2 linked regions of the Saccharomyces cerevisiae S288C genome follow. The gene in region 1 interacts genetically with each later gene. Each region holds a gene or a part of one and is shown in the gene's direction. Other genes may lie near its edges.

The links.
Region 2: of TRK1 (region 1) and PRM6, extra expression of one rescues a mutant of the other (dosage rescue), as found in Saccharomyces cerevisiae (2 studies listed by BioGRID, with this or other methods).

The regions. Positions count from the first base shown.
Region 1 is NC_001142.9:173,065-178,913, reverse strand, and holds TRK1 (Trk1p), read left to right. Parts: upstream 1-1,607; coding exon 1,608-5,315; downstream 5,316-5,849. Other genes in the region: mitogen-activated protein kinase kinase PBS2, read left to right, coding at 1-817. UniProt on the Saccharomyces cerevisiae protein: This protein is required for high-affinity potassium transport.
Region 2 is NC_001145.3:179,517-183,079, reverse strand, and holds PRM6 (pheromone-regulated K(+) transporter PRM6), read left to right. Parts: upstream 1-2,004; coding exon 2,005-3,063; downstream 3,064-3,563. Other genes in the region: PRP39 (Prp39p), read right to left, coding at 1-1,606; GSF2 (Gsf2p), read right to left, coding at 3,443-3,563. UniProt on the Saccharomyces cerevisiae protein: Low affinity potassium transporter that, with KCH1, participates in high-affinity Ca(2+) influx system (HACS) activation during the response to mating pheromone. Directly promotes K(+) influx and HACS may electrochemically respond to this K(+) influx.

The DNA.
Region 1 (5,849 bases):
GGCTAAATTTAGACAAATTTTAATGGAACTAGAAGTTTTGCATAAATGCAATTCTCCCTATATTGTGGATTTTTATGGTGCATTCTTTATTGAGGGCGCCGTCTACATGTGTATGGAATACATGGATGGTGGTTCCTTGGATAAAATATACGACGAATCATCTGAAATCGGCGGCATTGATGAACCTCAGCTAGCGTTTATTGCCAATGCTGTCATTCATGGACTAAAAGAACTCAAAGAGCAGCATAATATCATACACAGAGATGTCAAACCAACAAATATTTTATGTTCAGCCAACCAAGGCACCGTAAAGCTGTGCGATTTCGGTGTTTCTGGTAATTTGGTGGCATCTTTAGCGAAGACTAATATTGGTTGTCAGTCATACATGGCACCTGAACGAATCAAATCGTTGAATCCAGATAGAGCCACCTATACCGTACAGTCAGACATCTGGTCTTTAGGTTTAAGCATTCTGGAAATGGCACTAGGTAGATATCCGTATCCACCAGAAACATACGACAACATTTTCTCTCAATTGAGCGCTATTGTTGATGGGCCGCCACCGAGATTACCTTCAGATAAATTCAGTTCTGACGCACAAGATTTTGTTTCTTTATGTCTACAAAAGATTCCGGAAAGAAGACCTACATACGCAGCTTTAACAGAGCATCCTTGGTTAGTAAAATACAGAAACCAGGATGTCCACATGAGTGAGTATATCACTGAACGATTAGAAAGGCGCAACAAAATCTTACGGGAACGTGGTGAGAATGGTTTATCTAAAAATGTACCGGCATTACATATGGGTGGTTTATAGCGTTAATATCCAAATAAAAGCAAACAGGCACGTGAATATAACAACAAAAAAAAAGCAGACGAAAAGCTACTGTGGAAATGATGCGGCGAATACAAAAAAACCTTACATATACATATGTTTATTGTAATAAACTTGCATTATACTCGTTATAGACATATATATATATATATATTCATATATATATATCGTCTGACTTCCTTTTGTCGAACCTAAAAAAGGGCACGAATTATGACAGAGTATTGAGGGGATGTTATTTCAAGCACCGGCAAGTGAAGCGATGTGGACGTCAATATATTGTGTTATTCGATTATTGCTACGGCCATCGACTCCTCGAAATTATTTACGTTCGGGGCTGACAACGCAAGAAAGAAAAAATGCTCTGGAATTGTCTGATGGTTTTTCCGCTCTTTACGGCTCAAGGCTAGGAAAGAAAAAAAAGTCCAAAATCATCGAGAAAATAAAAGGTGTTTTGAAAGTTCAAATCCACGTTATTGAGAGTAGATGTGGAGTCTGGACCAGGAACTATACCTGTATCTTACCCTAACTTCTAAATTTTGCTACTTTCACGGAAAACAGTAAATAATTACCTATCAAGATAAAGAGCTCTTACATTATTAGAAACTTTTTGTTACTGTTGCTTTCCTTTCGCCCATTGTTTTTACCTTACCATTAGCATCACTGATTCCACACTTGTATTGCCTTAAAAAGAAGGAGGGTATTCTATTGGCTCTCAAGGAAGTCATTCCTATCCATTTTACTTAAAGTTATTACCTTTTTTTGATAACTAACAATGCATTTTAGAAGAACGATGAGTAGAGTGCCCACATTGGCATCTCTTGAAATACGATATAAAAAATCTTTCGGCCATAAATTTCGTGATTTTATTGCTCTATGTGGTCACTATTTTGCTCCAGTTAAAAAATATATCTTCCCCAGTTTTATCGCGGTTCACTACTTCTACACGATATCCCTGACATTAATAACTTCAATCCTGCTATATCCCATTAAGAATACCAGATACATTGATACATTGTTTTTAGCAGCGGGCGCAGTTACACAAGGTGGCTTAAATACTGTGGATATCAACAATCTAAGCTTATACCAACAAATTGTTCTGTATATCGTATGCTGCATATCAACACCAATTGCAGTTCATAGTTGCTTGGCATTTGTACGGCTTTACTGGTTTGAGCGCTACTTCGATGGTATTAGAGACTCTTCTAGACGAAATTTTAAGATGAGAAGAACGAAAACAATCTTAGAAAGGGAACTAACAGCAAGAACCATGACCAAGAATAGAACAGGTACCCAAAGAACGTCTTATCCTAGGAAACAAGCTAAAACAGATGATTTCCAAGAAAAATTGTTCAGCGGAGAAATGGTTAATAGAGATGAGCAGGACTCAGTTCACAGCGACCAGAATTCTCATGACATTAGTAGGGACAGCAGCAATAATAATACGAATCACAATGGTAGCAGTGGCAGTTTAGATGATTTCGTTAAGGAAGACGAAACGGATGACAATGGAGAATATCAGGAGAACAACTCCTACTCGACGGTAGGTAGTTCGTCTAACACAGTTGCAGACGAAAGTTTAAATCAGAAGCCCAAGCCAAGCAGTCTTCGGTTTGATGAGCCACACAGCAAACAAAGACCCGCAAGAGTTCCCTCAGAGAAATTTGCAAAAAGAAGGGGTTCAAGAGATATTAGCCCAGCCGATATGTATCGATCCATTATGATGCTACAAGGTAAGCATGAAGCAACTGCTGAAGATGAAGGTCCCCCTTTAGTCATCGGGTCCCCTGCGGATGGCACAAGATATAAAAGTAATGTCAATAAGCTAAAGAAGGCCACCGGCATAAATGGTAACAAAATCAAGATTCGAGATAAGGGAAATGAAAGTAACACTGATCAAAATTCCGTGTCAAGTGAAGCAAACAGTACGGCGAGCGTTTCGGACGAAAGCTCGTTACACACAAATTTTGGTAACAAAGTACCTTCATTAAGAACAAATACTCATAGATCAAATTCGGGCCCGATAGCCATTACTGATAACGCAGAAACAGACAAAAAGCATGGGCCATCAATTCAATTCGATATAACTAAACCTCCTAGAAAAATTTCAAAAAGAGTTTCAACCTTCGATGATTTGAACCCAAAATCTTCCGTTCTTTATCGAAAAAAAGCATCGAAGAAGTACCTCATGAAACATTTTCCTAAAGCGCGGCGAATACGGCAACAAATTAAGAGAAGGCTTTCTACTGGTTCAATTGAGAAAAACAGCAGTAACAATGTTTCAGATAGAAAACCTATTACTGATATGGATGATGATGATGATGACGATGACAACGACGGCGATAACAACGAAGAATACTTTGCTGACAACGAAAGCGGCGATGAAGATGAACGAGTACAGCAGTCTGAACCACATTCTGATTCAGAACTCAAATCGCACCAACAACAGCAAGAAAAACACCAACTGCAGCAGAACCTGCACCGCATGTATAAAACCAAATCATTTGATGATAATCGTTCAAGAGCAGTTCCTATGGAACGTTCCAGGACCATCGATATGGCAGAGGCTAAGGATCTAAATGAGCTCGCAAGGACGCCTGATTTTCAAAAAATGGTCTATCAAAATTGGAAAGCCCATCATAGAAAAAAACCGAACTTTAGGAAGAGGGGATGGAATAACAAGATATTTGAACATGGTCCCTATGCATCTGACAGCGATCGCAATTATCCTGATAATAGTAATACTGGAAACAGTATTCTTCATTACGCAGAGTCTATTTTACATCATGATGGCTCTCATAAAAATGGAAGCGAAGAAGCCTCTTCCGACTCTAATGAGAATATCTATTCCACGAATGGAGGAAGCGACCACAATGGTCTTAACAACTATCCTACTTACAACGACGATGAAGAAGGCTATTATGGTTTACATTTCGATACCGATTATGACCTAGATCCTCGTCATGATTTATCTAAAGGCAGTGGTAAAACGTATCTATCATGGCAACCAACTATTGGACGTAACTCAAACTTCCTTGGATTAACAAGAGCCCAGAAAGATGAATTAGGTGGTGTCGAGTACAGAGCAATCAAACTTTTATGCACCATATTGGTTGTCTACTACGTTGGATGGCATATTGTTGCTTTTGTTATGTTAGTACCTTGGATTATTTTGAAAAAGCATTATAGTGAAGTTGTTAGAGATGATGGTGTTTCACCTACATGGTGGGGATTTTGGACAGCAATGAGTGCATTTAATGATTTAGGTTTGACATTAACTCCAAATTCAATGATGTCGTTTAACAAAGCTGTATACCCATTGATCGTTATGATTTGGTTTATCATTATCGGAAATACAGGGTTTCCCATCCTTCTTAGATGCATCATTTGGATAATGTTTAAAATTTCTCCTGATTTATCACAGATGAGAGAAAGTTTAGGTTTTCTCTTAGACCATCCACGTCGTTGTTTCACCTTGCTATTTCCTAAGGCAGCTACATGGTGGCTACTTTTAACGCTTGCAGGATTGAATATAACTGATTGGATTTTATTTATTATTCTAGATTTTGGCTCAACAGTTGTGAAATCATTATCGAAAGGCTATAGAGTCCTTGTCGGCCTGTTTCAATCTGTTAGCACAAGAACTGCTGGATTCAGCGTTGTCGATTTAAGTCAACTGCATCCTTCTATCCAAGTCTCCTATATGCTAATGATGTATGTCTCCGTATTACCATTGGCCATCTCTATTCGACGGACAAATGTTTACGAGGAGCAATCTTTAGGACTATATGGAGATATGGGGGGAGAACCAGAAGATACGGATACTGAAGACGATGGTAACGATGAAGATGACGACGAGGAAAACGAGAGTCACGAAGGTCAAAGTAGTCAAAGAAGTAGTTCGAACAACAACAACAATAACAACAGGAAAAAGAAAAAGAAAAAGAAAACTGAAAATCCAAATGAAATATCTACAAAATCCTTTATCGGTGCCCATTTAAGGAAACAGCTTTCATTTGACTTGTGGTTTCTATTTTTAGGGTTATTTATCATTTGCATTTGTGAAGGGGACAAGATAAAGGACGTACAAGAACCAAACTTTAATATATTTGCAATTCTTTTTGAAATTGTTAGCGCTTACGGTACAGTTGGGCTATCGCTAGGTTATCCGGACACCAACCAATCGTTTTCAAGACAGTTTACTACATTATCTAAGTTGGTGATCATAGCTATGCTGATCAGAGGCAAGAATAGAGGTCTACCATACTCACTGGATCGTGCAATTATCTTGCCTAGTGATAGACTTGAACATATTGACCACCTTGAGGGCATGAAATTGAAGAGACAGGCTAGAACCAATACAGAAGACCCAATGACGGAACATTTCAAGAGAAGTTTCACTGATGTGAAACATCGTTGGGGAGCTCTTAAGCGTAAGACCACACATTCCCGAAATCCTAAAAGGAGCAGCACAACGCTCTAACATATATACTCATTCTTTAGAAATAGGTTTTCGTACTCAATATTTAAGAAGGTAATTAAGCATTAAAAGGATTTTTTTTTTTTAACCTTGATTAGTAACATTGTGATATACATTTGCCTACGTACATTTCTGATGTCCTAAGATTTCTTTCTTTTTTTCGGTCCCTTAAAGACAACCGAATCTCTCTACGATAATGTACGACATACAATGTCCAAAATGGTGCTTTCGTCATCGTCAACGCCATTAGTACATTGTCCCTCTTTTCGTGAAAAATGAAAAATCTTGGTTATTTGCAGTGTACATGGAATATGGACTTTTTTTTTTTCTCTGTGGCCCGCCGGTGTTCTCCGATGAATATTAAAAGAAATGTCACACAAACGCAATGACTCTTTTTTCCCTGGCCTTGAAAAAAAAAAAAACGGTAAAAAAGTAGGACAAATGGTATGGACAAAAAGTATAAATACTTTGACAAAATCCCCACTCATCGATTTTACTCAGAGAGAGAATCCTCTCTTTCCTTCTCTATTTTGCTCA
Region 2 (3,563 bases), on another chromosome or scaffold:
CAAATGTATTTGAATCTATAATGGAGGATTCATACGTGACGATATTTGAATGAGTTAAATAGAAAGTCTTATAATCCGTCAAAATATCATTCATTACTGTAGTCGGCAAGTATATTTCTACCCCAAGCTCCCTAATGAATTTATTCAGCTTGGTAAAATTTACATTACTCTTTTCAAATTTGTAGTAAGTTAACCAGAACGGTACAGAATTTTTAATGAGGATGTTTTTTTGATAAAGGTTGAAATATTTCCTTGTTTGCATATTATTTTTAAGTACAAGCCATGTAGTTTTTATCAATTCTACCACGACTATGCTTAAGTTTTTATCATTTATTAAGGTCTGTAAATGCACCTTGGCATCAATTTGATTATTGATGTAGTTGGTGATTGATGTCTCTAGGATTTTAGTAAACGATGTTTGTTTCTCTAGAATTTCCTTTGGCGATTGATCTAAGGAATTCTTAAAAGAATGTCTTTTCAACATACAAAGGTACTCCGTCATAAGTAATATGTCGTTGGGCCAAATCTTTAAATAACGCGATACTGTCTCATTGAATATGTTATTGAATAAGGTATTATTTGACCGATATTTTCTTTTCAAAAACCTAAGAAAATCATACCTCAAAGTTTTGAAATCCAGTGGTAAGAACGTATTGGCTTTTTGGTATATATCCACTACCACTTCATCGGATATATTTTTCTTTGTTAGCCACTTAATATACATCATCCACGTATTTTCATGGTAAAGACAAGGAATCAAACATCTGTCAAAAACGGACATTACGAATTCTTTATCCAAGGATTTTGAAGGATCCGTCACAAATTTTAAATATCGCGACCAATTTTCCAAATCATCATTTAACACTTGGCCCAGGTTGAAGAAGGGCTGTTTGATTTTCGATTCGAACTGCCAAATTTCATTTACTGTTGTTTGTGTTTTTCGTAAAACTATATCAATATTCCTTGTTGTCTTCAAATTTTTTTCATTTAAAAACTTCTTGTAAGATGTGAAAAACCGCGCATACTGATGTAGAGGAACTTCAATAATGTACTCGTATATTCTTTGAACGTTATGCCAATTCTTCTGCCCAACTTCAAATTCTATAAACTTGTCCCAAAAAGGGTGTGATAGAAACTGCTTGCCAATAAGATCCTTTGCAATTTCAAAATTATTCCTAATAAAATCCGTTTCGTTCGGGTTATTAACACACAACACATTCAAATAATCACACCATAACTCCAGAGAAGTTGGGAACCATTTGACCGAGGTGGCCAGAACAGCAATCGATTTCTTGAGACCAAATAACTGGTACTCAATAGTAGCAAACCTCTTCCAAAATCCAAACAATAAAGGGTACTTACGCAATATTTGCCATAAAATAGTTTCCAAGGCCAATTTGATTGAATCATTTGGATTGCCATATTTAACCACTGTTTGCTCTATAACATCTACCATTTGGGTCAACGAAGAAATATCTGACCAGTCTAAACCACGATATGCTTGTACTAATGCTGTGTTGTCTTGAAGGAACTGGGTGTCCAAACCTCGAAGGGCATCAGGCCTAGGCTCAATATCTTCTATTGTAAAATTTGTTTCATCTGGCATAACGAAAGACGGATTGCCAAGTATCCAATAGCAGTAAGGGCCAAAACTTTTTGTTGAACAAAGAAATGGCTGTGGAAGGCGCGTTTTTACTTTAGGACTTTGAAAACTTTCTTGCGTAAATTCTGTTTAAGTCTGAAACTTTCAACTCTGTATTAAATTTGTTTTAAGATGTGCGACGGCGACGTAAAATGGTAAAGAAAAAGAAAATGAATGATAGTAAATCATACTGAAAACGAATGATCTGAAACAATAAAAAAAGATATTTGTATATAAATTATTCAGCCATGCTCAAACCTCCAGATTAAAAATCAATAATGGATTAATTGAAAGCCCTGGAGCTGGCATTTTTTACCACATTGTCTAAGAGGGAAAGGAAAATGACAACAAAGCGCTAAATAATGGAATCAAGTTTACAAAAATTGAAATTCCAGGATATTGACATAAATCTTATTCCTACTGCGAAGTGGACCACAAAATTACAGTATATTCTATACACCTGGTGTCAGTCGATACTACATGTGGCCATGTTTTTTTCTGATATATACACGTGTATTAAATTACTGGCATTTAACACATGGTCGAACAATATCATCCAACCATTCTTGGAATTCCGTATTTCAAAATGGTTGTTTAGCGGATGCATATTATGCTCCTCATTAATATTAATTTGGGAGTTGGTAATTGGATTGAGAGTGTATAGGAAGAAAGAGATTACATCGAACTACATGAATGGCATTAGCAGATTAATAAATTGCTTGTTCAATTTCAAAAAGTATCAAATTTTCGAACTAATAGTGCTGACTGATGAGAAAAAATTCAGTAAGTGGTTATTCTTTTCATATTTTGAAATCAGTGGATGTTTGAGGCTATTGTTCGGTGACTCTCCAAGGCAAATAATCAACGGATTAACTTTGTGGTCAGTTTTACTGACAGTTTCGAATGAGACCAGTAGCGGAACCCATAGTACTCAAAGCCTAGGTAATTTAGATGACCTAAATGGAATAATAAACAAGATAAAACATATTGCTAAGACAAATTACGAAGAAAGTGTGATCTTGTCCTTCATGTTGTTCTCGTTTATCATATGGGTAATTTTAATAAGCAAATTAATTCTAAGCATAATAATATTCATCATTTTTATACGTCCGAGATTTTTGTCTAGTAAAAGGAAGGTTAAGGGGTATGAATTGAAACTACGAAAGTATGTGTCTAAAGTCATTGACGAGAATTTAAGTAGAACTGTCTACGAATTGGGAATATTGATAGATGATGAGGAAGAAGGGACCATATGTGGTGACAACAAAACGCAAAAAAAATTCGATTATGATAGTCCTGATTATGGCGACGAAAGCACAATACCGAGTTACTACTGCTACTCGGATGTAGAAACGTACGAAAGAGTATATACGCCCATAAAGGCATATTTCCCCCAGAAATACAAACATAAATACATATAAATGTAAACGAAGCTTTTTTTGACTGCAAAAATGCATTAAAAGTAAATCGATTCTCATTTATTGTATATATATTGTATATATTGTATGAAATATTTATAATGATAATGATAGTAACAAAAACCATTGATGGCTATAAACAATGAAACAAAAAAAAGCACTACGAAAACAGTAGATTCGTGAGGAATTGAAAAAAAGAGTGAAAAAACTAATAAAAACAACGAGAGTAAATAGGATAGTACAAAAATACTAGGAGTAAAAAAAGGCCCTCTAGTAGTAGTAATAGTAATAGTAATAGTAGTAGTACTAGTAGTAGTAGTAGTAGTTAAAGGCTATGGTTGAATAAAAAAAAAGTCTGGATGGTAGTGTTTTGGTTTTACAATTAATTAGATTTTTTCAAATCATTCTTTTTTATACCAAAAGTAGCATCATTGTTTGATGCTTTCTCTTTCTCATCAGCAATTTCTCTTCTGAGCTTAACTAGCGAGGCCAGTTTTTCATCT